4 linked regions of the Schizosaccharomyces pombe genome follow. The gene in region 1 interacts genetically with each later gene. Each region holds a gene or a part of one and is shown in the gene's direction. Other genes may lie near its edges.

Evidence for each region.
Region 2: mutations in dis1 (region 1) and dis2 are lethal when combined (synthetic lethality), as found in Schizosaccharomyces pombe (2 studies listed by BioGRID).
Region 3: mutations in dis1 (region 1) and spc7 are lethal when combined (synthetic lethality), as found in Schizosaccharomyces pombe (2 studies listed by BioGRID).
Region 4: mutations in dis1 (region 1) and klp5 are lethal when combined (synthetic lethality), as found in Schizosaccharomyces pombe (3 studies listed by BioGRID, with this or other methods).

What each region holds. Positions count from the first base shown.
Region 1 is NC_003421.2:339,559-348,017, forward strand, and holds dis1 (TOG/XMAP215 microtubule plus end tracking polymerase Dis1), read left to right. Parts: upstream 1-3,306; 5' UTR 3,307-3,475; coding exon 3,476-3,526; exon of another isoform or gene 3,527-3,793; coding exon 3,794-6,391; 3' UTR 6,392-6,684; downstream 6,685-8,459. Other genes in the region: YTH family RNA-binding protein Mmi1, read right to left, coding at 1-9; SPOM_SPCC736.13 (dehydrogenase), read right to left, coding at 1,211-2,230. UniProt on the Schizosaccharomyces pombe protein: Has a role in sister chromatid separation.
Region 2 is NC_003423.3:3,170,869-3,177,935, reverse strand, and holds dis2 (serine/threonine protein phosphatase PP1 catalytic subunit Dis2), read left to right. Parts: upstream 1-2,837; coding exon 2,838-2,889; exon of another isoform or gene 2,890-2,957; intron 2,958-3,238; exon of another isoform or gene 3,239-3,285; coding exon 3,286-4,217; 3' UTR 4,218-4,771; downstream 4,772-7,067. Other genes in the region: hom6 (homoserine dehydrogenase), read right to left, coding at 43-1,133, 1,203-1,242; rpl29 (60S ribosomal protein L29), read right to left, coding at 5,375-5,533, 5,587-5,613; histone H2A-H2B chaperone, FACT complex subunit Pob3, read right to left, coding at 6,930-7,067. UniProt on the Schizosaccharomyces pombe protein: Essential role in cell cycle control. PP1 is perhaps required for exit from mitosis.
Region 3 is NC_003421.2:784,228-793,583, reverse strand, and holds spc7 (outer kinetochore KNL network protein, KNL-1 family member, blinkin, Spc7), read left to right. Parts: upstream 1-2,923; 5' UTR 2,924-2,969; coding exon 2,970-7,064; 3' UTR 7,065-7,295; downstream 7,296-9,356. Other genes in the region: P3-type proton ATPase Pma2, read right to left, coding at 1-405; mmt1 (mitochondrial iron ion transporter), read left to right, coding at 7,879-8,120, 8,340-8,752, 8,796-9,334. UniProt on the Schizosaccharomyces pombe protein: Acts as a component of the outer kinetochore KNL1 complex that serves as a docking point for spindle assembly checkpoint components and mediates microtubule-kinetochore interactions.
Region 4 is NC_003423.3:1,708,581-1,716,519, reverse strand, and holds klp5 (kinesin-8 family plus-end directed microtubule motor Klp5), read left to right. Parts: upstream 1-4,402; 5' UTR 4,403-4,598; coding exon 4,599-4,629; exon of another isoform or gene 4,630-4,685; coding exon 4,686-7,306; 3' UTR 7,307-7,439; downstream 7,440-7,939. Other genes in the region: cytochrome c oxidase subunit VII Cox7, read left to right, coding at 1,084-1,149, 1,217-1,309, 1,360-1,380; cay1 (cactin), read right to left, coding at 1,634-2,263, 2,347-2,799, 2,846-2,938, 2,994-3,245, 3,292-3,417; IMP dehydrogenase Gua1, read right to left, coding at 7,639-7,939. UniProt on the Schizosaccharomyces pombe protein: Has a role in establishing metaphase during mitosis. Required for chromosome segregation where it generates tension during kinetochore capturing.

The sequences.
Region 1 (8,459 bases):
GTTTGACATTCAAATTTCTTTTATGTGTGATAAAAAGTATAATCTTTTTTTTTTGAAATCCTCTTTAAAATGCTAAAAATTTGTAAATTGAGTAACGGAAAATGAGTTGAAGCCAGAAGATTGTGATAAATATTAAATTAAGTTAATAAATATTCACCAAAATCCCTTGCTTTATATTTTTTTTACAAAAAAAAATAAAGAGAGAACCAAAAAAACCCCCCAAAAAACAAAATTGCTGGTCAATACACTAACTGAATTTATATCAACCACTATCGTTTACTTTAAAAGTCTTGCCGAGTAGAGAAATAAAAAAGCAAGAACTAGCAAGATAGATATACTCTTGAAAGAATAGCGGTAAGTCAAGTGAAGACCAAGCCCCAAAAAAAAGAAAAAAAAATATGTTTAGCCCAAAAATCACCAATTATAGCTTTTCACTTTCTTCAAAAGTTAGCTATTTCCCGTCAACTTTCAAAATAATGTTTGAATGTTTAATAAAACACTTTATTATAGGGTTTACTAGTAGCCTCCTTAGTGTTGGATTTCTGGAAGAAGGCAAGGTGCAGATAATCGTGAGAGAGTAATTTGATTACGGGTAATAACGAATACGAAGTACTTTGATAAAACAAATGAATATGAAAACCATCAATTACTGAGTAAATAAAAAAATTTCTATTTTAAAAGAGTTTTACTTTTTAATAAGTATTCCTTGTAAATTCACATTTCTTACAAATTTGTTCGGCAGATTCAAAAAATGCCCCGTGGCACAGAGAGATACTCAAAAGAAAGATTCTTTTTTAAGATTAAAAAAACAAAAAATTGCTCTGAGTGTAAATAGTGAATGGTCAAATGTCGACTAGTCGTTTCCATATTTACCATCAACATTATAAAGTAAATATTTGATTTGTAAATTAAAATACAGTCGACTAAAGTGTGGATAAAATGGCTAATACACAATACCAATGCTTTGACAGACAGAAAAGTAAGAGATCAAACCTACTGTTACCAGGGAAGAAGCGATGTAGCGACAAAGTCGAAATGCTGTTTGTGGTTCTTAAGCAATACGAAATTGTATAATATTATTACTAATATAAAGTAATCATAAAGGGATTCCAACATAAGACAACTAAAAATATATGAGGAGGTAGAAACACTTTACTAGTTTAAGTGGTTCAAGAAGCGTTCATCATTGTTCAGATTACGAGCAAAAGAATTATGGAGAAGGAGCTAAATACTTGAGATCTTCAAATATCTTATGAGTATAGCGATAAAGCTCCTCAACAAAGGCATCATCATGAGCGCGATGAAGAATACCACGCTGAGCAATTGCAGTGAAGTAAGCGCCGTTCAAGTGCTCTTTGGAAATCTCGGGACTGGTTGCAGCATATAAGGAAGTCATGGCGCCTCTGATTGGATCCAAAAGTAAATACTGGAAGACTGATTTCTCTAACAATTTGAGAGCAAAGGTAGGTGAGTAACGAGTCAGCTCGGTACGGATAACACCTGGGTGTAGACTAACGGAATATATTCCATATTTTTCTAAACGTTTGGCTAAAGCAATGGAATAAAGGATCTGGGCATACTTAGATTGTCCATAACGAGCAAAAGTACCCAAAAGTACATGCGGGAGATTTAGGTCAGGGAAGTAGATACCAGAATAAGGGGCCTGCAAATATGCAATGCTTGCGACGTGAACTATTCTAACATCGCCAGGTCGACATTCTTCTGCAGTACGACGGAGTGTGGGGAGCAAGAGCTCAGTGAACAAGTAATGTGAAAGGTAGTTGGTTTGAATCTGAAGTTCATAACCATCTTTAGTCAATTCAAAGGGAGGGTTCATGATACCAGCATTATTGACCAATATGTGTAATTTCTCTTCTTTGGCAATGAAAGACTCAGCTGCTTGGTACACGCTTTCGAAGTCTAACAAATCCAAACGAAGAAAACGGATCTTGGAATGTCTAACTTCATCGTGGATCTGTTTCATAACTTTTTGATACTTTTCCTCGTTCCTACCAGCCAGATAGACCTTTGCGCCTTTTCTAGCCAACTCGAGGGCAGTTACATAACCAATGCCACCTGAAGATCCTGTGACAAGAGCGACTTTACCCGTAAGATCGGGAATATCGTTAAAGGTCCATTTGGGTGTATTGAGACCGGTGTACTCTTTGAGAGTATTTACAATTGCGCTCTCATTCACGCGGTTGAGCAATCCCTGAAAACTGTAGGACATCGTAAAGAAATTTTTGAAGCTAATATCAATTAAAAAAAAAGAACTTTATAAACAATGAGCGGGGAGGATTTTATTGCAAAGAAGTGGCCAGAGAACAAACTTATTACCAATGTCTTTAACTCGAAACTGTAGCGATTATGAAATCAATCGATCAAGTTTGGAACAGATTCAAGAATAAATCAACAATTTTCTTTTAATAAGCGTTCTTAAGTTCTAGAAAACACTTAAATATCGTTCTCGTCGAATATGTTGAATATGGGTAAGGGTGGCTGCAGATGATAAGTTGCAAAGAGTGACGATAGCGGAAGAGGAAGCAATTCGTAATTTATACAATGACCGCTGACAAATTTCTTCAAAATCCAAGAAACTCAAGGCGTAACACGGCTTCTTTGCGGACCGAAAATTTGATCAAGCATGGTATTACATCGACTAGCTACTTTTGACTACTTGGCTTACAAAACGAAATATGGATTGTTTAGAATTGAATGTATGAATTGGGTGCTCGACAGAATATTGGAATCCTTTTAAAAATGTATAACTTGAACTTATTGTAATTGAAGAACTCGAATTCAGATTGGGCAAATGAAAGATAAAATTAGACTTAGGTATGAATAGAAACGAAAACTTAAAAATCTGCAATCTATAGGATTCCCTTCTTTAAACGAGTTAAACGTCATGTTTTATTCAGTAAGAGTCTTAGAAATTCATTTTTTCACTTATACTAGATCACAAGCATCTTACAGAGCCACCCAATAGCACATTAATCGGTTTCAAAAAGCAACTTGCATAAGGCTTAATATATCGGTGAACATTCCATTTGGGTGCTCATCTTCTGTTAGCATCATTTTGGTACGGTTTAAGATAAAGTTATTTATTTAAAGAATTAAATTACTCTAAAAACTTAAAATTATTGATGGTTTCCTCTTTTTCTCTGCTTTATTTACATTTTGCTCTAATAGTGTAATCTTGCGCTCGTTCATATTCAACAATACGATGGTCTAACGAATTGTGCTAACTCTACGGTGCTGGCTGTGTGAGTGAAACATTGTCGTCCGTAAAGTTAGTCGTCTCTATTTACACATGTACAACTCCAATTTCAGAGCCATACTCATTACTGTTTAGAATCCCGTCCGTTTCATTCGTTTTCATTTTTCTATTTGTCTATAAAATTCATTCTTTTACATAACTATTCATGCTCTGCTGGTTGTAAACATACGAGTCGTTAATTTATATTTGTTTATGTAAATGGAGTTGGACGATTTTAATAGCCGCATTCTCAGTCAAATTTTTGATAAGGTAAGCTTTTTACAAATTAATGGAGATAGAAGCTTGCTGTCCAGAAAAATGTAACTGGAATGAAAAGCAAACAAATGGAAATATCGTTGCAACGGCATTAAGGGCACTGTTGATCAATTCCATTGTATTTTACGATTTCAATTAGTTTTACTCATTGCTTTGTGTTTCCGTCACTACTCTTTTCATACCTGTTCTCCCTAGTATTGATGGATCTCACTTCTGTAGTGGGTTATTTTAAGTTTTTAGGTTTCTAACTGATTTATTTAGTCTTGGAAAGTTCGATTTGAAGCATATGAGTCTTTGTTGCATGCATTGAACCGAGCATTGGATGATTCAGACGTTTGTTTCCAGCCTTGGATTCATGACCCAGCATTATGGAAACAAGGGCTGTGTGATAGTAACGTACCAACACAAGAGCATGCCGTAAAATCTCTGCGATGCTTTTTAGACAAGTCTAGGCAAAAAGGAGTTAATTCTGCCAAATCGTTCGTTGTTGCTCCTCTACTCGAAAAATGTTTACCATCTCCTAGACAATCTATCCGTGATGCTTCTCACCAGGCTTTACTCATTTTAGCTAAATCCGATGCGCTGGACTATGTATTAGAAGGGTTATTTTCGGCGGCTCGCGTTAAGCATCCCAAGCAGGCAGTTGCTTCTATAAAAGAATTAAATAGTTTATTGGAGAATTTTGGAATCCCTGCACTTTCTCCTATTCCATTCTATAAACTGATTCCTACTTTGTTCGCCCAATCAGATAAGAATATCAGGCAAGAAGCTTCGAATCTATCCATAACCTTGTACGCTTGGGTTGGTAATGCATTCAAGACTCATGTGTTTCCTCAACTAAAGCAAATACAGGTCTCCGATCTTGAGGCCTCTTTTCAAAATGTTACATCTCGCACGACCACGGGAGGACATATTTCAAATTCCCTCAACACCCAAGAGGTGGTTCTTCCTTCTTTTTCATCGAATGCCAAACCCAAACCACATTTGTCCTCAAAGTCATCTTCGCAGGGAAACACTCTGCAACGCTCTACTTCTAGTTTCAGTACTCCTAACCGAAAGGTCTCACAACCTTCTGATTTTTCAGCATCTCCTTCCCGTTCCATTGTATCTCCTGCCAAAAACATTGTCGGAAGTACGCCCGTTGATGTTCTTTCCAAACTAACCCCAGAATTCCATACCGCATTATCTTCTCCCAAGTGGAAAGATCGAAAGGAAGCGTTGGAAAGCATGGTACCGGTGTGTTCCAATCCTGTTTATCAAGAGGGTGACTATAGTGAGTTACTTCGAGTGATTGCAAAGTCTCTAAAAGATGCAAACGTGGTGGTAGTGGGTGTAGCGGCTTTATTATTGACGCATATTGCCAAGGCGCTAAGGAAGGGCTTTCTTCCGTATACTGGTATTGTATTGCCTTCTTTATTTGATAGGTTTAAAGAGAGAAAATCGAGTTTGGTGCACTCTTTGCTGGATGCGGCCAATGCTATTTTTGAGAGCTGTGGGTTGAATGATATAATGGATGAGACGTTAGAATTTTTGAAGCATAAAAATCCACAAGTAAAAACTGAGACACTTCGATGGCTGAATCGTTGCCTACAATTGACGGATGTTTGTCCGCCTCGAGCATCGCTTGAAACGCTATGTAGCCTATGTGTGACATTGATCAACGATACGTTTGAGCCAGTCCGAATGGCTACCACAAATGTATTGGCAACACTTGTGCAAATTTTTAGTCAGCCAGTGTTGTCCAAGTATATTGTGGGATTGGATCCTAAAAAGTTACCAAAAATATTAGAACTTTCCAAGGACATTACGGTGAATGCGCATCCGAATCAACCCTCACGTCCCAGGCTGCCACGAGTGGCCTCTCCTTTAAAGACATCACCGGTTAAACTGGCTGTTACACCACAAGCACCTTCACCATTACCATCCTCGAATCCATCACAGGCGAGTTTGACAGAAGAATCTCTATCTACACGATCTTCGCCTACGAAACCATCGACGACGTCTTTGCGTAGTCAATCGTTGGTGAATAGATTTGCAAGTTCTACATTGAAAGCGCCATCATCCTCTTCAAAGGGAGTTTCGAATGCGGCGTCGTCAAAACAATCGTTTCCGTCATCCCCTTCGATTTCGAAAAAGTTAGAGACTAGTCGACTTTCCACGAAGAAGTTACCGGGATCAACGATGAAAGCAGCGTCGGCGCTCAAAGAATACCCACAGCAACAGTCTATGAAAAGTGGAGGAGAAAAGCAGGACAATTTGGTTACGATTACAATGTCGGAAAAAGTGGAGCTGGATTTGTTGAGAGAAGAAAAAGCCATTCGACAAGTTCAGGAAGCGGAAGATGCATTGGAGCGAGAACGGTTGTTTCGAGAGATCAATGATTTGCAAATTCAGAATGCAGAAATGAAAGAACAGGTGTATGAGAAAGAGTCTACGATATCGCAAAAGGAGGTGGAGATTACGAGTTTAAGGAATGAGAAGGATCGATTGAGTACACGATTGCAGCAAGTATTGTTAGAGTTGGAGAAGCAGCATGAGACGAATGAAGAAGCGATGGATATTGATTTAAAAGTTCCCGAGAGTGGAGCGATAGGGAGGGTGACGACAAGGGCGACAGCAACGACAGCAATGGACGAAAGTGGTAACGCTGGGATGGTATCGAGTGGTATTCATTCTGTGTCGACAAAGCCAAGTTCGTATGGGACACGGCGTTCGCTGGCAGGATCAATGTTACAAAAGCCGACGCAATTTTCGAGGCCGTCGTTTATGTTTTCACCAGAGGCACGAGACAACTGGAGGGAGAGTCATGATTTGTCAAGTCATTTGTGGGAGCAAATCCAAAGGATGAAGAAGGCGTAGTGCCCGGCGATGCATCCGAAAGTATGACTGATTAGGGCATGCTGGATTTAGCAAAGACGAAGAAAGGCAAATCGAGCGTCGTTTTTACGTGTTGTAAGAGAGGTCGTCAGTTTGGTGAATGCACAAGCGTGGAAATGCTGGTAGAGTTTTTTGTTGGAGTGTTTGTTAAAGTCGATTAGGTAGAGTTGAAATCACTCAATTTGTATTTCTAATTAAAGTCGATCATTTTGTAATGCTAATTGAAACGGTCAAGAAAGAAATCAGAGTTTTGGATAGATGAATAGGAAAATGTAGAAAAAGAAGAAAAGAAAAGAAAAAGAAGAATTCACGAGAAGAGAAGAAAAGAAAAAAGACAAATCACAAGAAGAAAAAGAATTCACGGGAAAAAGACAACTGCAACTTTTTTTCTGCGCTCCATTTGCCAATTCAACAAAGCGCGTCCCCTGTGCGCATTGCCAAACAAATACCACTAGCTTTAGGCTTGATCCTAGGATTAGCGAACAACGGGGGTACAGTGTAGTTTGGCGTAGTATGGAATAAGTAGGAACGAGTTTGTAGGTTTCCACGTTAAATGCAAAGTACGAAAGAGCTTTTCCACTGATAGATAAACGATGCATAAGGTTATACAGCACGTTATAAGGTATTGCACTATGCATTTTAAAGCAGCGCAGCAATTCGTTCCTTGCAAGATGGGCAAATAAAAACTACGAGGTGATAACAAAACGGTGTATTACTTTGCGAAAGCGAACGTACTGTATTACATTGTTAGTTAGTGTATTACGTTGTAAAATAATGCATTACATTGTAAAATAGTGCATTACATTGCACCTACTGAAATGCCTTGCATTCTGCTACATTTACGTGGTAGCTTACTGTACTACATTGCACTCTACTGCACTGCTTGGCACCCTCTTAACTGTCTGTCCTGCTGCGCACTGCCTTTGCGCACCTTTCCCATACCTCGGCTATATGAGACACTAACTTTATCCAATAGACGATCGCTTCTTGCGGCGTTTGGTTATCGTGCGCGCGCACCGTAGGGAAAGGAGGGAAGCAAGGCAGCGGCGGCAGAGCAGGAGTCTAGTACAGTAAGGCAGCGAGGAGGGAAAAGAAGATTTCCCATATGTCGGGAAGAGAGATTTGAGAGAGGGAGAGAAGTACGGACGGTCGGAGGAGCAGGAGAGAGAAGAAGAGCCATGAAAAAGGAAGTGAAAGTAGAAGGGAACTAGTAGGAAAATAGTAGGGAAATAATAGAGGTATTCTTTTGTTTATTTCGTTTAATTTTATTTTATTTCGTTTTATTTTATTTCGAGTATTCTTTTGTTTATTTATTTTCTTTCGTTTTATTTTATTTCCTTTTGTCGCTCTTTTTTCTCTCTTCTCGTCGCTACTCTAGCATTTCTAGCTATTATCAGTACATCGCCATGCCATGTGCCATGCAATGTTATGCTATGCTATGCCATGCCATGCCCGTTACACTCCCGTGTTCCATTTGGTGCTCCATTCCCGTATTGCCAAAGATAGATATTTCCGTATTCACTCGATCCTCTTCATCTTCCGAATAAACTGATAAAATTGTTGCAAGTATCTAATACTCATTCATAGTCAGCGTCGGCATTTTCTTAAACTCGTTTACAATCATTTCTTCTGAATTCATCTAATTTCTTCTGAACTCATTTCATCTTTCTTTTCTTCATTCTTACTACACTCATATCCCGTTTCACTCACAACTCACTTCTTCACAATATCACTCACTCTCTTTCGCTACTTCTTTTCTCTCTCTCACTTTTCCATTTCTTGTCACCTCGTTCCTTGTTACCTACCCTTGTTGCCTCTAACTTTTACCTTTTCTCTATTCTATTCTCTTTTGTTTTAACCTTTTTTTTTATTTTTGTTTCATCCATATTTATCCATTTATATTATCTTTCTTTCTATATTTATCTTTATCGGTCCATTTATCTTTTGTTTTTTCTCTTGTCTCTCTCTCTCTCTCTCTTACCTTTCTTTCTCTTCTCTACTCTACTCTACTCTACTTTACACTACACTATTCTATCCTAAGCTACTCCAT
Region 2 (7,067 bases), on another chromosome or scaffold:
ACTTTATTTAAAGAAACCTAAACCAAAACTTTAAATATAAATTTAAGCGGAAGGAGCATCTGACGCGCGAACCTGAGACATAATTTTGATCATATCTCCAAGAACACCGGCAGCGGTCACAGCAGCTCCAGCACCGGCACCAATAACTACCAAAGGACGAGTATGGTAGCGTTTAGTGGTAAAGGATATAATGTTGTCAGACGATTGAAGGTTAGCGAACGGATGAGAAGCGTCGTACTTTTCAAGTTTGACAAGAGTGGTCTTGTTAGCAACGTCAGCCTCACCAACAAAACGGACAACCTTGCCTTCCTTCTCAGCTTCTTCGCGCATGCTAGCAAATTCTGAATCAAAGTTAGGTAATCCAGCTAAAAACTCTTCAGCATTTACAGCACTCTTCAAAGGTTCAGGAATGAGCGATTTAACAGGGAATGAGCTAGCTGACTCGACATGAACACCAGCAATACGAGACAAGATGGTGACTTTACGAGCGACATCCATGCCATTCAAGTCATCACGAGGGTCAGGCTCGGTATAGCCATTTTGTTTGGCAATTTTGACGATATCAGAGAATGAGGCAGTTCCTTTCTTGCCGTTAGGAGACCAAACGTTGAAGATGTAAGACAGAGTGCCAGAAAAGATACCTTCAATCTTTATGATTTCATCACCAGTAGCGATAAGTTCTTTTAATGTGGAGATAATTGGCAAACCAGCACCAACAGAAGCCTCGTGCATCAATAAAGCACCGCTCTCCTTGCTAGCCTTGATAATGTTTTGATAGACATCATTACTAGCAGAGAATGCTTTCTTGTTGGGAGTAGCAATGTTGATTTTCTTGCTCAAAAATTTAGGATAAGATTGAGCGATTGCTTCAGAGGCAGTGTTATCGACCAAAATGGCGGGAAGGGGGGACTTGGCAAGGAAATCTACCAAAGCATCTAATGAATAAGCACCTTGGTTCTGAGAAGTAAGGTTCTTCCATTCAGACAAATTAATGGGCTGATAATCCTTGGAGACGTAGTGACCTTCCATACTAGAAATGGCAACAACGTTAAAAGAGGTAGTGCCATTGGTAGAAGCGTTTTCATTAAAACCCTTAATTTGGTTTAAGAGTTCACCGCCGATGTTTCCTGTACCTATTTATTTTTAAGTGATTAGCTTTCGCTTTACAAAACATTCAAGCATTCAATTTATTGTGTGCTTACCAACAATAGCAACGTTAACGTTAGTTCTGCTAGCTGACATTTTCAAATAGTGGGTGGGAGAGGTAGAGATGCTACGACGTTGGGTCGGATTACGAAAAGCAGTGACAAGGGTTTTCTCAAAGGAAACTTTGGAAGAGGTGATATACGAATTGATAATTTTGTTGTAGGGAAATAAAATTTTAGAAAGTGTAGATAATTTAGGGAGATTTAAATTTTTTCCATGTCTAAATATTGTCATACCAAACATTTTTTAGAAGAGTTTATTTTATACCCAAAAATGAGTTTTCAACCAAGGAAGGATCTTTCTCTCTGATTGATATCAAAGTTTTGCAGGTATATTTGTTGTGAACAAAATGTGAGCGACATTATATTAATCGAGTCAGAACATATTTGTAATAATACTCAAAAGCGCAAAATCTATTACTGTAGCAATAATGATGTTGATTTCGTTTGATACAAATTTTATTTAATTTGATTTTGTTTTATTGAAGCTCCGCTAAATAAACTTAGCTAGAAATCTAGTATAGAAGCCGATTTATATAAATTAATCACAAATTATAAATATAACGCATTAAATTTCATATATGGGATTCAATGGCATACAATCATATATTTACTTTTACAATTAATAAAAACCACTTAATCAACTTATGTGATTTATTAGTGTTTATCGACTCGTGAAAAAAAATATTTAATTTTTTGCTTCGTAAATTAAATTATATGCTGCTAAGTGTCTAAATAAATCACATTCCATCCATCAAATTTGCTTTTTTATTATTAAAAAAAAAAAAAAAAAAAAAAAAAAAAGAGATTTTTGAAGAGAAAAGTCTAGGGTTCAAGAAAATGAAAAACTGTAATGAAACCAATCTGACTATATAATTTGTTAATTATATATGCATATTATTATGATTAGCAAACTCAAATCATAAGCAGGTGCAGCTTTTTCAATTTAAAAGTTCAGATAACATACATTAAATTATTTATTTATTTTCTAAATCAAGCTTAGAAGAAAATAAAATATTATGATAAAATACTGCGAAATTAAAATGTTCTGAATATACCATTTTAAATTCTAATGAAGTTTTCTTGCAAAACAATAAACCGATATTATCTTGAAGTAGGTTGCTATCTCTTAAAATATTTAAATTATTCTTCACCTTTTATTAATAAAGAAAATTGAATCAATTTGCTAGACAATTTGTAGAGCAGCAAGATTTAGAGGGTTGTTTAAAATCAACAATTAATATAAGAAAAGAATTCCAAAGTAATTTAATTATAGGTTTATATACGTTTTTTTAATGTAGTAGTGATTATAGAAACTAGGAATATAGGAAAGTAGGCACATATTATGCATCAAGCTCGTTGTACACCCACCACCCAACCATTCAACTACCTACTACATACAACTCACTCCAGTTTCCTACTGTTAGCCATAACCTTTATTTCTGAGTTAGCAGCAAATATTGCTTTTAAACGGTTTGCCGACTGAATACCGTTCTCCGTCCGTCTTACTTTTCCTCGGAACACTTTACTTGGAAGAAAAATCGTCGAAATTCGGTCGAGTAAAAAATTAATCACAGACCCAAAAATTTGACTTCATAAGTGTCAAAAGCGGTTATATTGGATACCTGTAAAATGTCGAACCCAGATGTGGATTTGGATTCCATTATCGACCGCTTGTTAGAAGGTGAGTGGGGAAAAGCAGACTTGATCATGATGAAGGGTTGAGTTTAGACAAATTTTTGAAAGGAAATTGAAATCAGTTGTTGTTTAATACAATAATTTACATGAAGAAACTGGAAACGACTCTATGTAAATGTTCATTCAACTGTTCATAAAATTTGAGGAAAACCCAGGAAAAAGGGAAAGTTTTTTCTTTGAAAACGTTTAGAAAGCATTTTCTTTGATTCTTGGTCTCATTTGTGATGACACTTGCTTTATATACATAATCACGCATATTTGTATTCAAATGCGATTGCATATTGGCATATATCGTGTTTCTGTGTGAATGATTTTTCTAACCAATACTTCCATCCTTAATTTTACCATTTAAACCATTTAGCTATTTACTAACTTCTTTTAGTCCGTGGTAGTCGTCCAGGTAGACAGGTTCAATTATCTGAAGATGAAATACGATTTTTATGTAACAAAGCACGTGAAATATTTATTAGTCAACCTATCCTTCTAGAGCTTGAAGCTCCTTTGAAAATTTGTGGAGATATTCATGGCCAATATTACGATCTTCTTCGACTTTTTGAGTACGGAGGATTCCCTCCAGAAGCCAACTATCTGTTTCTAGGTGATTATGTTGACAGAGGAAAACAAAGCTTGGAAGTAATTTGTCTTTTGCTCGCTTATAAAATCAAGTACCCCGAAAATTTTTTTATTTTACGTGGAAATCATGAATGCGCCAGTATTAATCGTATCTATGGATTTTACGATGAATGTAAGCGCCGTTATAACATTAAGTTATGGAAAACATTTACAGATTGCTTCAACTGCCTTCCTATAGCAGCTATCATTGATGAAAAAATTTTTACTATGCATGGAGGTCTTTCGCCAGATTTGAACTCTATGGACCAGATCCAAAGAATCATGCGACCGACCGATGTCCCTGATACTGGGTTACTCTGTGATTTACTTTGGTCTGATCCTGACAAGGATCTTACAGGCTGGGGTGATAATGATAGAGGTGTTTCTTTCACGTTTGGACCTGATGTTGTCTCTCGGTTTTTGCACAAACACGATATGGATCTTGTTTGCCGAGCCCATCAGGTTGTGGAAGACGGTTATGAGTTCTTCTCTAAACGTCAGCTAGTCACATTGTTCAGTGCACCTAATTACTGTGGCGAGTTTGATAATGCAGGTGCGATGATGAGTGTTGACGAGAGCTTGTTGTGCAGTTTCCAGATTTTGAAACCGGCTGAAAAAAAACAACGCTACGGATACCAAGGTTCAAGTCAAAATTGGCACATGACTCCACCTCGGAAGAATAAGACAGGAAATTCAAAGTAATTTAAGCTCAATCCAATTTCTCCCATTCTTTTTTGTTGGTTTCATTTTCCACAAGCAACAATTCGACGATAATACCGCTTTATGTAGCTGTTTGAACGGATTTCTTTTCGTCATTTCTCAATGGTCGATGATTAATTGTTCATGAAATAACTGAATGTTCTTTTAAGAAATTATTTTTTGCACTACCATTTCATTATTCATTTTCTTTCTTTTCCGTCAATTGTTAGATGTATATAGACTATTGCCTTTTATTTTTCATCATCTAAATTCCCTTTTTTAACAAAATCTGACGCTTAAAAGACGGATGTTTTTACCGAGCAATAGTTGTTTGAACTACTTTATACTTCTTATCTTCGAGAGAGTGCTTAACGTTGATGATGGCATTTTCCGCTGCAAGCTTCTGTTTGCTATCGGTGGAATCCTTTATAATGACCATTGACAATTTTGTTTAAAGGTCTTTCATTTCAATTATGTATACTGGTCTCACGTTGGAAAATAATTTGCCTATTTAGTTATTGTTTATACTACTATGCAATCAAATTTCCTTTTCAGTGATGCTATTTTATGGTAGTTCACACGTTTATATACAGTAGGCTTATACAATGTTTCGGCATTCCTTGGGATTTGATAATATAAAGCCACCGTTTAATCGTAAGAGAGAGTAAGGTGCTTATTATCATTACAGCTATTTACCGGCGAGTTAGCAGAGTACTCACTAACAAGTCTATGAACACAATAATAATATTAAGAAATTCAGATTTATACTGCTGCTAAGGTACTATCAATTAATAGAAAATTTGTACCACCCAATTCTTGACTAAATTCGGTGAAGATTAGCCGAAAGTTAGCCAATATGTATAAGGGCGAATCATCAGTCTAGCACGAAAAACAAGTTCAACCGCAATTAATCTCACGGGTAATTTTGTTAAAAAGTGCAATGATACAATTTACTTTAGATTAACAGAACGTCACAGCTATTCATATACATCCAGTAAGAGCTTACTCTACGCATTCGCTTTAAATTTAACCGGCAGACTACCTTTATTTTTAGAAGCACAAATCAAACGAGATTCTCATTTTAGAAATCCAAAATTTTTAAAACGTTGAATTATGCCATTTATGTAGAAACCAAACTAAGACAACTAATTCCAAGCATTTTAAGCAGAGGCCTTAGCTTGACGAATAGCTTCGACGGTACCACGGTTGGCAAACTTTTGGTTGCGGCGGAACTTAGCATCACGGTACTTAAGAGAATCGTAACGGTGCTTTTGAGGACGCTTAATACCGTTACGGTGAGCCTTCTTGTTTTGGTTGTGCTAAGCTCAGTTAGTATTAACATTCATTCAACAATCTACAAAGACAAACTCACATTAGTATGATTCTTCGACTTGGCCATTTTGGTTCCTGGATAGGTGAAAGAGGATTATGCAAAGCAAAATATTGTTTCAAAAAAAGCAGTCACGTTTACAAGTTTCTGTAGCGTAGTTTACTAAAGCGAATACCGATATCGTCGGTATTACATTAAATTATGAATGATAACTTCGGCGAGTTCCCATTGCATTGGTGCTGTGTGTATGCATAATTGCTAAATAATCGTGTAGTTGAAATGTTTTTGAGCACTTTTGTGTAAAACATAACGATGAAGGAAAGTGAAGTACTGGAATGTTAATAAAATAAAATGGTAATAAATAAAAAAATGATCAAATAAACGCTTACTCTGTAATTTATGTTGTATTCCAAGTTATAAATTAAAACAACTAACAAGCTATCGTAGCAATTACAGGATAACGCAAAACATGATCTATGTTTATGACTAGTACTTCAATTTGTTTGATGCTCGGCGCGGAAAAATGAAAGCTCGATGCATTGATTTTAAAAATATTGGTAGATTCTTAAAACCACAATCATAGTTTTTTTTTTTTTTTTTTTTCGTTTCGTCTGATCAATGTGCAAAGTATGCACTTTCTTCTATTTTTACTACACATTTCAACATCCAAACAATTTTGCACTATAATAATTATAACACAGTTGTATTGTTGTCAGCCATACCTAGGCGAAAACACCGGTTCCCGTCTGCAGCTAAGCGTCTGATGGCTTTGTTAGTACCATCGTAGGAGACAATATGGGAATCCCGGGTGCTGTAGGCTATTTTTCTCATTATTGCATACTAATGTTAAATAACGGTGTCGTAAACGTTTTGGCTATGCATCCATAGGTACTGTAGTTAATATTCTAAATAAAAGACATCATTCAAAAGTCCATGTACTGATGATATCTACAAATAATCTCATAAGTATAAATAAATAATACACTTTTAAACGATTGTCTTAATATATTACGAGATGATTTTGTGAAAGACGTTTATGCTACTTTGAAATGGATATCTCAGGATTTTCTCAAAATAGAAAGGTCATAGCAATGTATAAAGGAAAACATGCGAGTCATTAGGCGTCTTGTGACCTTGGAATAATTTTGCCTAGTCAAAATTGTGGAACAGTATATATTTTGACCGGTAAGTGTTATTTTTTCTAAAAGGATTTTACCACTCGGATTCATCGATAGAAGTTTCCTTATGTGACATAAAAATGCACAAGAGTGCCAACTTTGAGGATTCCGAAGAATTAAAATAAAAAATTTGTAATAGCAAAAGACAAGGCTGAAAAGTTGATCCAAATAGACTTCCAATTTAACATTGCTCAATTTTATAGATCATTACTCCGAACCCTCAGCACCAGAAGCACCTTCTTCATCAGAAGATTCTGCATTTTCATCATATTCTTCAGCAACATCGCTTTCACTTTCAGCTTGAAAATCTTCGTCTTCTGATAGTGCTTCTTCCATTTCCTCATC
Region 3 (9,356 bases), 440 kb from region 1:
GTCTTCAATTAGGGCATCAATATCTTCGTCTTCATCTTCATTATCACTGCCTTCGCCGGTTTGAGGACGGGCAGGCTTTTCATGGGAAGCAGATAGCGATGGAGATGTAGTAGCCTCCTGTCCTCGGGAGGTACTTTGAGTTTCATGGGTAATTGATGTGTTACCACTTTGCAAATTCGCTTGCTGAGCATGAGTGTTAGGTGCGGCAGTTAAACGTGGAGCTGCGTTTCCTGAAGCGTTATCATAATCGACGGCGGAGTCTTCCACTCCCCCTTCCTCATAAACTTCTGTCCTTGTGGTTGAATCATCTTGAGGAGAAGCATTATTCTTGAAAGGATTGCCGTGTAAAAAGCGGCTAATTCTATGCATACCCTCAGGTCGCCCTTCGCCGTTATTTCGTTGCATATTAGTCAAAGGTTATTAAAACGACTATGCGCAAAAGATTGGTGAGGATGAAAAGGTAAAAGAACTGGAATTGGCTCTATTGTTGTGTATAAAAGACTGACAAAATTTGTTTGAATTGGATGACAATTAGTAAGTCGCCAGCCGTTACGAAGGACTCCTTTTTATAGTAAAAGCTTCAAAAAATCATGCGGGGAACAATTGTAAGCCTCTTATTGCGGTTTGGTTAGCTCACAGCTTATATTCGTCTCCTATGCGTATTATTGACTTCATTTCTCCCTTGGTTTGCTTTTTGACCTAATATAGGCGTGGTTGCAGACTCATTTAGTAATAATACCATCTTATAGGTCAGTCTCGTAACAATGCTTTCATTATTGTGTAAAAATTACCGGTCGATTACCTGAATTTGCAATTGTCTTTTATATTTACTAGGAGCTTCATTGTACCCGGAGATAAATATTATTGAATACTGCGTGGTTTTATTTTTTTATTTTTATAAATTTACAATTTTATTATTAAGCGGATCGTTACATAAAATATTTAATGGGTGTGATTTCTGTATTTGTTTATGTTTGGATACATTAAGTCCACTTGTTTAGAGAATATTTATGATGGAGCACTCATAGAAAACTTCGTGATTCTTGGGATTTCATTATTTAGTGTTGTAACGAAGAAATACTTGTCTTATTGTGTGTTTTTTTCTTTTTTTTTTGGCACAATTTTGGCTAATCCTTGCAATTTGAAGCATTAGTTTGGCCCCTTTTAAGTAAAGTTAGTATGCTAAATGAATTGTGGAATAATCTATATTTTTGCAATTGTTAAAGGACAAGCCTGGACTGCTGTATAGACAATACTTTTTCTATTTTTATCAAATCTTCCTCAGAGAAGATGTCTGACGCCCTTTTTATCATGTCACACACATTATGCTAAGTAAAGGATTCTAGTGAAATACAGTAGTTATGCAACTATTAATAAGTCATTATTAAATTGAAACATGTTATGTCGTTTGAAACTGGATAACATTACGATACCGGAGATTTGTGACCATTTATATCGTAACATTGACTAAATCCAAATGGGAGAATGATATTGGGCTAACCAAGTCTGCTCGTATTTGAAGGCTTATACCAAATGCAACGAATAGAATATCATACCATACTACGGGATACACGGGATTTACAAATATCCAATTGTAAGAATTGTCAATTTCCCGGATTTAAAAAAAAAAAAAGAATGTTAGTATTGATGACAAAAGCCTTACTTGTTTGAAATACTGAACAATTATCATTCGTTTATACAACGCTATCCTTCCTGTGCCGAATATAAACATTTTACGTCCTTTTGTATTTCCATTCTTCAAAGAAATCCTAATCGTGGTATATGATTTATCATTCTAATAAAAAATATTAAGACAAGCGAGCTCAGCCATACTTGTTTTTTTTTTACTCATTTAAATGTTGTACAAATGCTAGTTATGTTACTAAGCTTTACTGTGATTTGAAAGCATTAGTGTTGTTAATAACACATATGGATTATAGTACATAATATATCAATTTCAGGTCTTAGCAACGCAATCGTAATCTGACTTAAAAGGATTTATAATTTCTATTTGTGATCAATATATCATCGTAAAAGGAAAAGTACACGAATTAATGTCTGGTCAATTTCACTATGGCTAAGTATAACCATGGAAATGAACAGGAAATAGTTCAGAATGAGCTAGCTTATATTTGCTTAGCCGGTAACCTTTTATAACCACTTTTGAATAGTAAACAATGATGGAACAGGTTACGAGAACCTCAATGGAAAGTAGAACATAGAATTACATGTGGTTGTAAGTTCATGGCAATATCCATCAAATTATAGAAATACTAACAATAAACAGTTTTTTTCTCGATTATTGATTATAAGCCGCTGGAATGATATTAAATAAACACACTCCTTTAAAGGAATATTCACGAGTATTATTATAATATACAATTTGCGAAATAATAATTTATAACAACCTCGCTACAATTTACTTATACTTCTTACAACCGCACATTGCTTTCAAGTTAATCCATTAAATTATGCCAAAAGAACAGTGCGGCTCATTTGACAAAACATTCAAGTGAATCTTAGATATCTATACCTTTTTGAAGTTTGTATTCCTCCATCACAGTGCGCATATGCTTGTGATGCTCATTACCTTATTGTTTACAGAAAACCCAATATTACAAATAGACCCAGTTGAACAAAAGTACCCCCAATTTACCTTTACTTTATACAATTTGTTAATGATAAGAATGAACAACAGTCATATTGTTCATTGGAACTTTTACAAATAGGATCTTTATTCATTATTTATTCAGATTAGCTAACAGGAATGATTACAGAAAGCATCATCGTAGTCTACCGTATCCTAAAAAGGCTTACAGACTCCTTAAATAATACAACGAAAGGCGTTCTAGGCCGCAAAAAGAAACTCACCGCCATAAATTTAACGAACTATCATTACAATTTCTTATGTTCGTCTTAATCTAAAAACAACAAAGTTCGTGTGTCGACGTGCTTTGTTTAACTTGACGATGCCAACATCGCCTCGTCGCAATAGTATAGCGACGACCGATAATGTTATAGGAAGAAACAAAAGTAGGAAGCGTCCACACTCGCTTGGAGGACCTGGTGCGCTTCAAGAACTTAAAGAACACACAAATCCAGCAAAAGGCATTCTAAAGAGTTATTCATCCTTTTCCGTAGATCCCGCTTTCACAGGAGATGAAGACTTTAATGATATACACACACAAATAAATAACACGGTCATTGGAATCTCTAGTAATGTTATGGCTGCGTCAAAGAGACTTCAAATGGAAGACCTACAGCAATTGTCGCGTGAGACGTCTAGAAAAAGTTTGAACAGAAGAGTTTCCTTTGCTAGTCATGCACGTGTACGTTGGTATCCTAAAGATCACCAGAGTGACTCGGAAAAGTCGACATCTAATCACAGCACACCTGAGCGAACTTTTGCATCTGATGCTAAAAACCATTCCCCTAAAGGTCCAACAACGACAAGTTTTTCGAGAAACGAAACACAATCATCTCCCCATAGTCATAGTGCCTCGATTATTTCAGACGGTAGTGATATGGACATTGCGTCCCCTATTCGGTCAACCGAATCAGATATGGTCTCTGAGGCATTGAATGCTGGCCATCCGCCTCCTTCTCTGTATCCGGAGAATGATGATTTAAGTATCCAGAATCCAACAAAAGCCTTACCTGAAGCAGAAAAGGCACTTGATGTTCACGATGCCACGAGAGAGCAGGTTAATGATAGAGAGGAAACTAACATGGATTTGACTATCCAATTCCAAGAAGCAGATTCGTTTTTATCACATTCCGAATCAATTAAAGGTCTTAGCTCTAGCGAGCAAGGTACTGTTTATAGTTTAAAAGCTTCTCATGACCCTTCAAACCAAACTCAACTTTCATCCCCTAACAAATCATCTAGTCCAACTAGTATTGAAATTTCGGATTTCTCCAAAAATAACGAAAATCACGATCAGTCGGAAAATAAAGAAGAAGAAGAAGATATGATGCTAACTCGACCTATTGAAATTCCGCAACACTTTTCCCCCATCGCTCGCCCTTTAACTTCCCAAGAAGCTATTGTTGACATGGATATTACCTCTAATAACATTAATTTATCTCCAGTGTCTCATTTTTCCAATGGCTTAGATTTACAAAACTTAGAAGAAGCGCCTATGAACCTTACCCGACCAATTAATGCTAATCCTCACTTAACTAATCATTCTCCGAACGATTTAACTAATGGAGAAGAAGAAATGGATACCACCTCCGCCTTTAATATCGAAAACTCACATTTAACTCTCCTTTCCCCCATTCGTCCATCGTCACGATCCATGGAAGAGCAAATAATGGACTTGACACAACCCATTAGCTCTACAAATGCACCCACCCATTTGAATGAAGATGATTTAAATCAATTTACCTCAAATATATCCTCTTCTTCAAAACCGAGAAAGGATAATAACAAGACTGCCAATTCTTCAAAGCCCATTCCCGACAGTGAGGACTTTATGGACATTACTAGACCTTTCAATATATTATCCCCTTCTAAAGAAGCACTTTCCGAAGAGCAACCAATGGAATTAACCTCAACAGTTTTTCCTTGTGAGAATTCTACATCTCATCTTGAGGTGGAAGAAGCTGCTATGGACGAAACAGTGGCTTTTCAAATCCGTGGAAACAATGTTGAGTTACCTTCAGCAGACAAGGAAAATGCCGAGAGAGAAGAAATACCCTCATATAGTGATAAGTCAGAAAATTTCAATACTACCTCCTTTACCAACCATGAACGGTCACCAAATGGGAACAATAATCTAAAATTTTCGAAAGATCCTAACTCTTCTTCTCCAAGTAGACATGTGGTAGCGACTCCTACTGATAAGCTTGGTACTCGGAAAAGACGCTTAAGATATAGCACTTCAAGTTTTGATCAAAGTACCTTGCGTCGCAATCGTCTTGCAACAATCCGTAATGCTCGAAAATCAATTTCAACTTTGAATGACAGAGAACTTCTACCGGTTAACTTTTTCGAAAAAAAAGTAAATTCTGGTCTCTATAAATCGGTTGAGCGATCCGAAAATTATCGTCTAGGAGCTACTCCACTTACCGCAGAGAAGCCATTCACCACAGAAAAGCCGCTTTCAAGTCTTCCTGAAGAAGTTTCAAGGCAACCCACTGATGACAAAGGCGAACAAGTGTCTAATGCAGATGTTGATTCTGGATTGAGTAAAACAGAGCGACTAACAATTCAACAGACTAACGAAATTAAGCACGTTCCAACTAATACGACTTCTTCTGTTAAGCTTCCTCAACAACCTTCGAATGAGGATGAAAAAGAGCGTATAACAACTGCAGATTACGCCGATTCAACTAGTTTGGAGCGATTGGAATCTCAGGAACCCAACCGGAATGAACTTGTTCAAGTTGGTTCGTCAAATGCAGGTAATACAACTTCCGTGGGCATGAATGAACATGAGAAGTCACCCGTCAAATTATCAAAAGGTGTGAGCAATGTTGATACATCGTTGGGCGCTTCGACTATTAACACGAACATTTTGAATCAAGACTCTGGTCCAAATGAAGAAATACCTGTTGGTAATGAGCCAGAATTTGATACGATGCCAACTCTACCAAACGTCGAGCCGATAAGCCTATCAGATTTTCTTAAAATGACCGGAATTGAATTTTTGGATAATCTTACTATTGCTAAAAGACGAGAAACCCTATTGCCAAATGCTGAAGAAAATAAGAAATGCAGTATCCAAGAACTTTTGGAATCTTTTTACATACAATTCCCTTTGTTAGAGTTATACAAATTTAGTTGTCAGCAATTACAGGATTATATTGCCGAAGGGAAGGATTTTGTTACTAAAATTGAAGAGGAAACTTTGAAAGAGAACCCGTTACTATTCTATGAGTATAGGAAAGCATCCAGTGATATGAGGGTTTTAATGGATTCACAATTTTTAATGATGAAAACTTTTGCTAGACTTCAAGCAAAAGGTGATTGGTACGAATGGCGTGAGGGTTTGATGCAAGGAATCAAACATGAATTAAATTTAAATTTAACTGGGATGCAAAGAAGCTTGACCCATTTAATGGATGTCGCGAATGTTATTCATCCGTATGCGCAGGAAATTCAAGAGAGATACAATGGTAGTATTACTACAGTACAGACATTAAAGAAGCAGAAGGAATTTGCAAATCAGTATGACTCAACTCTTCTAGCGCAGGCGCAAGAAAAGTTAGAGAAACTCAAGGTTGAGGTTGAGAGGAGACGTCGGCTTCTGAGTGAAAAAGAAGAAAGAAGAAAGGAGTTGGCAATAAAGATAGAACAAGTGACAAACTCTTGCTCTGATTTGGAATTACGTACCAACGCTGAACAAGATTTTTATGCGAAAAACCAAGATTTTGAATTTGACGAAATTAAGCGATACGAGGAGCAGTTGTTAAATCTTAAAAATGAACTTGGCTGGACCATAGTTTCTTTGACCGCGGGCGGAATTAAATTAGCTACAAATAACACTGCTCTTTCTCCTTATTCAGCCGAGGTTACGGTTGAGATTTTGAGGCAAAATTTCCAAGTTAACGTTGATATTGCCTGTAAGTTCCCTAACGAAAGTAATGCTTGCAGCTCAAATGTGCTCGAGCATGTTGCATCGTCGTTTTCTAAATGGCATTCCAAGGTATTTTCTAGGAACTTACGTCTTCTGAAGAAGTATCTTAACGATGTTTCAATTTGTTGGGAACAAATTGTTTATCTTGTCCAAGATTTCCAGCGATTATGGTACCATTGGCCCTTTTTGTCAGTTGAAAATGATGATAAGTCTATTATCATAAATGTTGAGCTATACCTGCGTTCGGTATCATCTAAGGTAAAGGTTGTTTTCGGTCTCCCAATTGATACTATCTACCAAACTACTGAAGTAGGAAAGTTTTATGCTTCTACATCAGTCGCTGTGAAACAGATGTATGCGGAAAGTGAAGGAGACTCTTATGTTAGTGAGGTTTTGAATACTCTTTCGGAAGTGGTGCATTGTACATCAACTTATGCCCTTTCGTCTGCTTGTCTTACTGTTTGGAACAAATACAGCTAGATATTAATGGGAATGATTAGCTATGCTGCGCCGAAGCGACTTCCTTTCCCAATATTCATTTTGTGCTTAACGCTTGGAAATATCATTTATCCTTGTTGTATACTAGTTCATTCGTTTTCGTTAATTCACATGTTACTAAAGAAAATGTATATATTTTATGCTATTTAATATTGGTGAAATAATAATGGTAGATCTTGACTGATAATGAAATTATAAATCTTTTTGTTAAACCCGTAATGCGCTACAAAATAAAGTGTTTAGTTAATATATAAATAAACTATCCATAATTAAAAGATTCTCGGATGTGCAAATCTGGTGTAGTAAAGTTTCACATTGATCTGATAAGTACGGGATCGACATCTTACGTTCTCCTAGATACATATATACACAATCGATAGAAGAGACCGATCCTAAACAAAACAAAGATCTTAACTAATTTAAGAGAATTGGACGGATATTTAGATTTTTATAATTGAAAGTCAGACGCTGCTTACAAAATTATGAGTTTGCAAGCTCAAATTTTGCAGAATTGAAATAGGAGGTTTTTTAGATTTTTAGGCTTCGCTCGGATTATTAAGTTATCCATTTTTTATTTTTGAACACAGTTTAATTAAGTAAGTCAAAGTTCCTGAACCTCGTCTGCAATTTCTGATAAAAATATTAATACACTTAAAAATAGATTGCATCCGCAATCGAAAGTTCACAGACAGCCGGTTGAGCCCTAATTTCCAGGTTTTCTACATATTTACTTCTTTAGAAGTTTTGTTTTATATATAGATATCCCTTTTCTTGAATTAACAGTACAAAACTCACTATGCTGAAAACGTTCAATTCGTCAGCGCGCTCATGTCGAGCGATGCCGCGTTTTCTACCGACATTGTGCAGCAGATTGCACGAGAAATCTGGCTTTGAAATTCGGAATGCTGTAAGAATGCATAGTGTTGGCTCTCACACTCATACCCATGACCATGGATCGGACAAAGAAATGTTAGAGCTTGTTAAAGCTTTGAAAAAAGAAGGGAAATCTCCAGAGCTGAAACTTGCGTGGTTAGGATTGTAAGTATGGAAAAGAAAAAAAGAAAGTCATCTTTTCTTATCAATTCGGAGCATAGCGGCAACAAAGGAACTGTAGCCCTAAAGTTAGCTAAATAACTCATGATATTTAATGAGACCATTTTTAAACTGGTACTCTCTTATGCTTTCGTTCTACGACAGATCTTTTGACAATTTCTTCCCTTTATTATAGATATTCTTGACTATTAACACTTTTTATAGATACAGCAATATAGGCTTAGCAGCCGCCAAAGGTATCGGCGGAGTTGCTCTACAATCTAGCATTCTTGTCGCCGATGCTGCTCATCAATTAGGAGATACACTTTCGGACTTGGTAACATTGGCTACCTTGAAAATATGTAGCAAGAAGCCCACACAAAAGTACCCTGCCGGTTTTGGCAAATGGGAAACCATAGGTACATTCACCGTATCTGGTTTATTGGTGGCTGTATCTGTAGGCATTGCTCATTCATCGTTATCGAGATTGTATACTATACTATTCCCATACGCTGGTTCAGAACACACGCACATTGGTCATTCTCATAATCCTTCTCAACTATTGTTTGAACACCCCTTTATGGCACTTGGCCTTATATTTGGTAGTGTTGTTCTTAAAGAATGGCTCTTCCGAAAAAGTAAGTAATTTCACCTATTATTGGATTCTAATAGTATATTTAGCGAGAACGGTGGCTCAAAAAACAGATTCAAATATCTTACTAGCCAATGCCTGGCATCATAGAGCAGATGCATTGACGGGAATGGTTTCACTGCTTGCTTTATCCGGCACTTACTTTCTTAATGCTCCATGGCTAGATCCGTTTTTTGGTTGTTTAGTAAGTATTGTCGTTTTTAGTGCCGGCTTCAACTCTTCTAAAAAGGCCTTCTTGCAGCTTTTGGACCGAGCACCTTCCGAAGAGTTACGTATCGCAGTAACTGATGCTTTATTGAAGGGAGAAAAGCTTCCATATAAAATCGTTACTATATTAGGAAATGCACATGCCATGCATGTGATAATATCTGTTCCTCCATCCTTCACATCTCAACAGTCGTCCGAATTGGCACAAAAGGTAGAAAAGACTGTTTTGGATGCTATCCCTGCCCTTTCCAGTTGTATCGTGACACCACTTTCCTCTGACTCTAATCAGGTTCATAGATGGCAACACTTAAATGGGTCTTCTGGTGAACATTCGCATCCATCTCATGAGCACACTCATTAGATATTATACCTTGTAAATTTCG
Region 4 (7,939 bases), on another chromosome or scaffold:
GACATAATATTATGATGATCATCCAGTCACTAAGTGAGCTATATTTTAAGCTAATGCAATCAATTTTCTTCAAATGCATGAAATTTAAAGGTTTACCCCAACAATATAATGTTGTGTTCAGTTGTGATAATTGTAATCTTTAAAGTATAGCTCGGTTAAGTGCACCTTAATTTCATAAGATTATTATTAGGCCCATAAAATTTGACGAAAGTTTTCTCGGTATTAGTATTCCAAAAAAAAAAAAAAAGAAAAAAAAAAAAAAACAAGGAAGAAAGCAGAGTATCTTTAAAGTACTTTCTGAAATATAATGTATAAGAAACTGTTTTAGTTCATCAATTACTTGAAAAGACGATTTAGCATTTTCAATAACTCAAACCATCATATTCTATCTGTAAGTCATTGTCAGAATCAATTAAAAACTTTCAACGTCCTTCGTATAATATGAACATAGAGCTTTGTAATACGAATTGCTTAAATGGACAAGGAATTTTCGCGTTTGTAGAGAATACTGATGAAGGATAGAACATATGTAACTCAGTATAAAATTGTTCCCTTATCTCAACAACCATAAGAATTTATATAAGTACAAGCAAATGCATCTTCATTATTAACTTTGATCGCTATACTATTATTGCTCCGAGTATGCCATGGACGCATTTATACCATGTTTGAAAGAGATTCCCCAATAGCTTATAAGGAGATAGCTTTAGTTTTTGAAGAAGAATCAATCTGACAATGATTCCGTCCTTAAATTATTTGACAACAATTAATTTATATTATTAGCGTTAATCTCGTTCAGTAAGATTAATTTAAAATGATACATACCAAAAACGATAAAGGAGCATTTTTTTAATAATACGAATATCTTTCACTTAACCGTCTTATTAATATACTTAAATATGTGAGTTTATGAGGTTGACTCTGTGTTCTGGCACCAAGATGTACTAATTGGAACCATCAATCCTTTCCGCACCTACCTACATTTTATCGTTAACCCTCATTTTTTTAACAGTTTAACTTGTTAACTTGATTATTGGTTCGTTTTATAATTATTAAAACAATTATTAATTAAAAAAGAAAAAAATGAAGAATACTATTGTTCAACAACAACGCTTTCTCCAAAGCATCCACAAACCAACTTACTTGCAGGTAAGTTTTAAACGAAACTTGTTTTTAATTATGAAGAGAAAAAAGAACCTAATTGTTTAATATTTAGAGACCAGGTAGTTTTGCTCTTGTTTATCCTTACTACGCTGTTATGGCTGGTCTTGGTTTGTATTCCCTTTATGCCTCTGGAAGAGTCATTTTCGTATGTTATTACTCGATTTATACTATTTTTTTCTAACCTTTCAAAATTAGGGGAAGAAAGATGCTTTTTGAGGACATCCGAAGCATATTTTTATGTCAGGGAACTTCAAATTTCTATGATGCCTTTTCCTTCTATTTATCACCCCCTTCTTCTTGAATTAGTTTAGCTTTTCAATCACGAACTAATCGATTTCGTGTTTCTTTACGATTAAACTTATTTATGCAATACTTAAGTAGTTTAGTAGATGCCTTTTAAGGTTGTTTAGCTGCACATGTAACAGTAATTTAAATTTCATTAAATGTACAACATGATAAATCAGTTATTTTACCTTCTATGATGAAGCTTTTTGAATCGAAAATGGAGGGATAAAACACCATTGTCAAAACTGCTTTTAAACCCATGATCTCGTTTTGCACTGTAATCCCAATCTTTATCTACTATACTGAAGGCAATATCCTGATATGGTTCCCCAGCTATAAAACGTATAATGCAAACATCGTCTTGTAAATCAGTAGTGTCGCTTTTATTCTTCCTTCGTGTTCGTTCTATTCGATACGTTGGTGCACGGCCTGTACCTATTAAATCTGGATAAAAAACGTTAAAACGGTACCCTTGAACTGCTTTGGGAGGTGGGTGGGCTTCATTGAAATGTGCTTGATTATAAGAATTCCATTCAAACCCAAGCAAAACTCTATTAAAGTAGTGAGGCTTTTTCAAAGTAACCCCGTTTTCGTTAACAACACGGGTTTGCCCTTCTACATAGTCCCCAAGCATCTCTTGCTCCTCTGCATCATCGGATTGTAAGTATTCTCTTTCGAGTCGTGCCCTGTTGGCAATTGAAAATTCATCCTCGTTAATCAGATTACTGTTTTTCGGCAAAGTTGGCTTTTGTTTTTGGGTAGGTATCGATATTGGAATATAAGTGCTAGACTTTACAATATTGACATGATCATTCTAGAAAAGATTTTGGTTAGGACAAAAGATGGAAATCGTAATTTGGAAGAGAGTTAATATTATGAAAAACACAAATATCTTACCAATTCTTTTTCATAATCGGCTTGTTCTTCAGGTTGTATCCTGCGTGGTATCGCTTGAGCCCTCAAAATGGGCTTCGGGTCTATAGGGACAATATATAACTTCTCTTCACGATCCTTCATATTTGACAGTTTTTTGGCATCGGAAAAAGCTTTGTCCCATTCTTCATTATCAAGTTTATTTTTTCGAATTTGTAATTCTTCATTAAAAGTCTTTTTTAAATAAGCAATGGCCTTGTAAGATTTTAAAGAGTTTAGTAAATCAACCCAATAATCTGTATCGAGAGGGACATTGCTCTTCAATTTTTTTTGAATTTGTGCCTCAAGCTGTTCTAATTGTTCAAAAGATTTAGGGGCTAAAATCCTTTGTACTTCACCTGCTACGACCTTTAACCCTCTTGAAAATTGCCCAACTTTGTTATGTTCCATTCGAGAATTCACTAGCATTTTAACGTACTATAATGTATAATTTAGCACTTAAAGCATAAAAAATAATCCATACCTTCCAATAAGTTAGTCTACATTGGTTCGTTTCCAGCTGCTGAATATCACCAATATTTCTAGATATCTCCTCCAAATCTTCTGCTTTATAACTCTAAGTATGTTAATGATTAATCTGTTATAAAGTAAAAATAAAATAAGTCCCTTACTTGAATAACAGAGAGTGGATCAAACATGTCAACTGTTCCAAAATCAATTGAATTTTTTTCTCCATTCTCTTCCCATTCTGGGCCTGGCATCAAGTAAACGCTGACAAGAAGTTTATCTATAGGCTTAGAACGATCATTCTTAAGTCGAATAATAGCTCTTCGAAGCTGCTGTAAACGCAAAAATTCCCGTTCTTGCATTTCTTTCGTTTCCCTACTTCGCTCTTCCTCTTTCATAGCATCTCTCACTCTCGGCTAAAGGGAAGGTTAATTCAAAAACAACTAACATTTTCCTACTTACTAAATTATAATTTGCTCTTGCATTTTGATTTGAAGGTCGAAATGAACGAGGTGAAGAAGATCTCGAAGCATGCCTTTTTTCAGGTCTACTTCTGTTGAAATCGCGAGTTGAATCACGAAATGCCATAGTAATATATTTAAATTCAATGCCTTAAATACCAATATTGCTGTATGAAGGGTGCTTTCCAACAGAAGAGAATCCAATTGCTTTTTTTTTATTTGAAACAACTCAATGAGTAGGTTAAGTTTTTTTTTTTGAAATTTGAAACGTAGAGCTTTGTTATTTGATAAATGAACTTAAGGTAATCAATTACTTAGCAATAATAAGACTTATCCAACAATAGTAAAATTTATGGTTATGGCAAAGGTGAAATTTTATTGCATATTCGAATGCTTAGTAGGTAGTTCTAATTTGACGCTTGGTGGTTTGAAAGAAATTGAGCGGTAATGTTATAGCACGAAAAACCCCTAATTCATTATAGTTGCTATTGGTAAAAGTCTCAACGATATCGACTAAAAGGTGAAGTAAAACTCAGTATTTAGTACCTAACGAATATAGGAATACCCAATATAAAATATAGAATATAATTTTGTTTATAGCGCTCACTAGTCCTCTGCTTTCAAACTAATCAGATATTTAGGCCATCAGTTAATTGGCAATAAAGTAGCTAGTGCAGCAGTTGTGGTGTTTATAGAAGTGCTAGAAGAATATATACACTTATTTGATGTTCTATTGCAATTATAGGTGAAAATGATTTAAATTTGTCGGACGATTTATTAAAGTGTGATAAAAGTAAAGCAAAGCAAGAATCTTGCCAGGCATGTGTACATTATAAGTTACAAACCAAACGATAGCGATTCAGTTCAATCATCGAATTTAGTTGCCTTTTATAATAATAAAAATACTGTAAAAGCATCTATGATACTGAGATAGCATTATACACAACTAGTGAAAATGAAAAGGTAAAACAGTATTTCAACTCGATTTTAATCGTAACTACCTGTATTTGTGTTTATTGTCAAAATATGTAAATAATGTAATTGTTTACATCTTTTATTGCCATAACAACCATTCAAAACAAAGTGCGTTACTTGACTAAGAAATGTAACTTGGCAAATGCCAAACAGTCAACATTGAAGCGCACTCAAAAAACGCGTTTCTCGCTCTTTTCTACTGTTACATCTATTTTAATAGTGATCTTCGATATAAATTGCTTTTATTCAAGAAGGTTATTGGAATTGTTGTTTGCGAGTGCCCTTCTTTTCATCTGTTTTGGATGATTGCTTGCATGGAAATTTTGCTTTTCAATGTCAAGACAGTCGTCCATTACCGTTACAGGTTAGTCTTTAATGTGATGTTTTTTAAATTCATATCTTTTTGCTAACATAAAATAGTCCGTGTTCGCCCATTTAGTACAGCTGAATCTGCAAATTTAATTGCATCCTCAGATCGTTTATCATTTGGAACATCTTCTTCCTTAAGGAACCCTGGTTCAGGACGTCAAATTCGACGAGTAGTAAAGGTACTTGATGGACGTGTCTTGGTATTTGATCCCCCGGATGAAACAACGGCTACTTTGAGTGCCACAAACCGCAGACTTTCTACTTCTCAACAGAGTCTCGCTAGATTATCTAGAAAGTCAAACAATTCTGCGGGATTTGGCCGTGATCTTCGTTATGCTTTTGATAGGGTTTTTGATGAAACTGCTACTCAGCAACAGGTGTATGAGAGAACTGCCAGGCCGTTATTAGACAATATTTTGGATGGATTCAATGCTACTATCTTTGCATATGGAGCAACTGGATGTGGTAAAACTCACACCATTAGTGGAACAATGCAAGATCCTGGTTTAATATATTTGACACTAAAAGAACTTTTTGAGAGAATGGATCATTTAAGAGATGAAAAAATTTTTGACCTTCGCCTTTCCTATTTGGAAATTTATAATGAAACTATTCGTGATTTATTAGTATCACCGACCCCAAATCAAGCAAAGCCATTAAATTTACGGGAAGATGCAGACCGTCGCATTACTGTACCAGGTCTTACTTCTTTGTCTCCAGAATCTTTGGAAGAAATCATTGATATTATCATGAAGGGAAATGCTAATCGTACTATGTCTCCGACAGAAGCTAACGCTGCTTCATCTCGTTCGCATGCTGTATTGCAGGTTACGTTGATCCAAAAACCTCGTACAGCTGGCATCAATGAGGACCACACTTTGGCCACTTTATCAATTATTGACTTGGCTGGCTCAGAACGTGCAACAGCTACCAAATTAAGAGGTAGTCGTCTTTTTGAAGGTGCTAATATTAATAAATCTCTTTTAGCCCTAGGAAATTGTATCAATGCCCTTTGTGATCCCCATCGCCGTGCGCATGTCCCCTATCGTGATTCTAAACTTACTCGCTTACTTAAGTTTAGTTTAGGCGGAAATTGTCGGACAGTTATGATTGTTTGCGTATCTCCGTCTTCTGTTCATTACGAAGAAACTCACAATACTCTAAAATATGCTAATCGAGCAAAGAATATCAAAACCGAAGTGTTAAGGAACATGATCAGTGTAGATCGACATGTAAGCCAATATGTAAAAGCAATCGTTGAGTTACGTGAGCAAATTTCAGAGTTGGAGAATCGTCTCGCACAGATCGATTTGTCATCGCAATCAAATGGTTCTGATCAGGACGCTGTAACTCAATCTTTTGCTCATGAATCGAAGCTTGCAGAAGCCAGAAATTTATTGCGTATGACATTTGAGGAGACTTTACCACTGCAAAATGATACTATTAATAAGGTAGAAAAGGTGAAACATTTTGATGATTCAATTCGCGTACTTAAGTACTGGTTATCCTGCTATGAGCGAATACTTCCGAATTCCGCAGATGAACGAGTATTTTTAGTTCGTTCAAAGTTAGAATCATTGTTAACTCGTCGTGCAGAGATCATTGCTGATATAGATCCTGAACTTGTATACCAAAAGTTTCAGAGAAGTGTTTCTCACATTATCAACACATACAAACAAGAAGGTGCTACCATGTACGCTGATGTGTTACAGGATGAAGTTGACTTGCTAAAATCAATTATTGAGAATCAGGTTCTAGATGCTCAGAATAAAGTTGATGAGTTCACTCCTGTTTTAGAATCCCTTCTTAGAAGTTCTTTCAAAGCTAGTTCATTGCTAAAAGAGGGAGGTATGCAAGAGCTATTCTCGATACTGGAAAAGTGGTTGTTGGGCATTGGTCTTGGCGAGAAACCTAATATATCTGTCTTATCAGAAAGTTATAAGCTCAACTCAACATCCGATGATTCACGAACTATCAATCGTGATAGAGTTCATAGTTTTCCCACTCAACCCTTGCTTAATAATAACTTGCCTCGAATGTTTTTCGTGAAGTCTCCAAAAAAACCAGTTGTATTTTCAAAACGTTCTCCAAAAAAGAGGGTTCGTTTCGACGATTCAATGTCTACGTCTGACTCAGGTGCCTCCGCGTATAACTCACCCATTCAAACCTCTAAGTTAAAGAACATGAACTTCTTTAATACTATGCATATGCCTTCAACTCCTGCACATAAACGGCCTGAAAATAAGAATCAGATAGATGTTGAAATTAATCTTACTTCGCCTGTCTCCCCGATGTTGGAAGATAAACCAGAACCTGGACTTTTGATAAAAAGTCCTTTGGAGAAAAAGCAAGAAGTTAATAGTGAATCCACACAGCTTGATCAACTGCTGGCCGAGGACTCGTCAACTGACGATGTTTCTTTACCTCATCTGGACACTATTGATCTGGATGGTAGTCCAGTCCCAAAAGTTCCTGATTTGAATTTTTCCAGAGCCAATATGGACTCACCAACATTCATCCTCAACAATGAAGCTATTCACAACTTTGATTTTTCTAAACCGAAGACTCGACAAAGCCTCAGTTCATTGACTACTCTTCATCTTTCAAATCCAGCTAACATTATTAGGAAATCTTTAAGCATGGCTGAAAACGAAGAAGAGAAAGCCACCTAAAGGTCCGTATATTCAAATACGAATCCTCTAAATATCCTGTTGGGTATATTTAAAAAAAAAAAACGGATAAGCTTGATGATATGAATTTTTAATGAATTAATAACTTATTAGATTATATATTTATAAACCCTAAAATTCTCTTAGTAAACTTGCACAATTCGTTCGTAATGCACTATCAAATACAAGCGTACATATATGTCTGCCACCTCCAATGTACATAATTTTGTTTTTTTCTACCTAAGCAAAACACAATTGACTTGAAAAAAAAATAAGTACTATAAATGCAATTTATTAACTTTAATTAAATTTTTCCTAAATATCCTTATACACGACTAGTAAAGACGCTTTTCGTATGTAGCAAAACCTTGGATATCACCTTCACGGATGGCAGCGCTCGAACGTAACTCGAAGCGAACTTCATGCTTGTCGACAGCTTCATGAAGCTCATCAAGAGATTTGGTACCAATATCTTGAAGAGCGTGTTGCAAACCAGTGTAGAGATAAGGTAAAAAGCGAAGAAGCGAGCCCTTGTCGACGACCAAACCAGAGACACCTTGGGCAACACGGACAGCATCGTTTTCAGAGAAATAGCGGCCAGTAGAAGCATTCTTATTAACACCAGTACCTTCCATT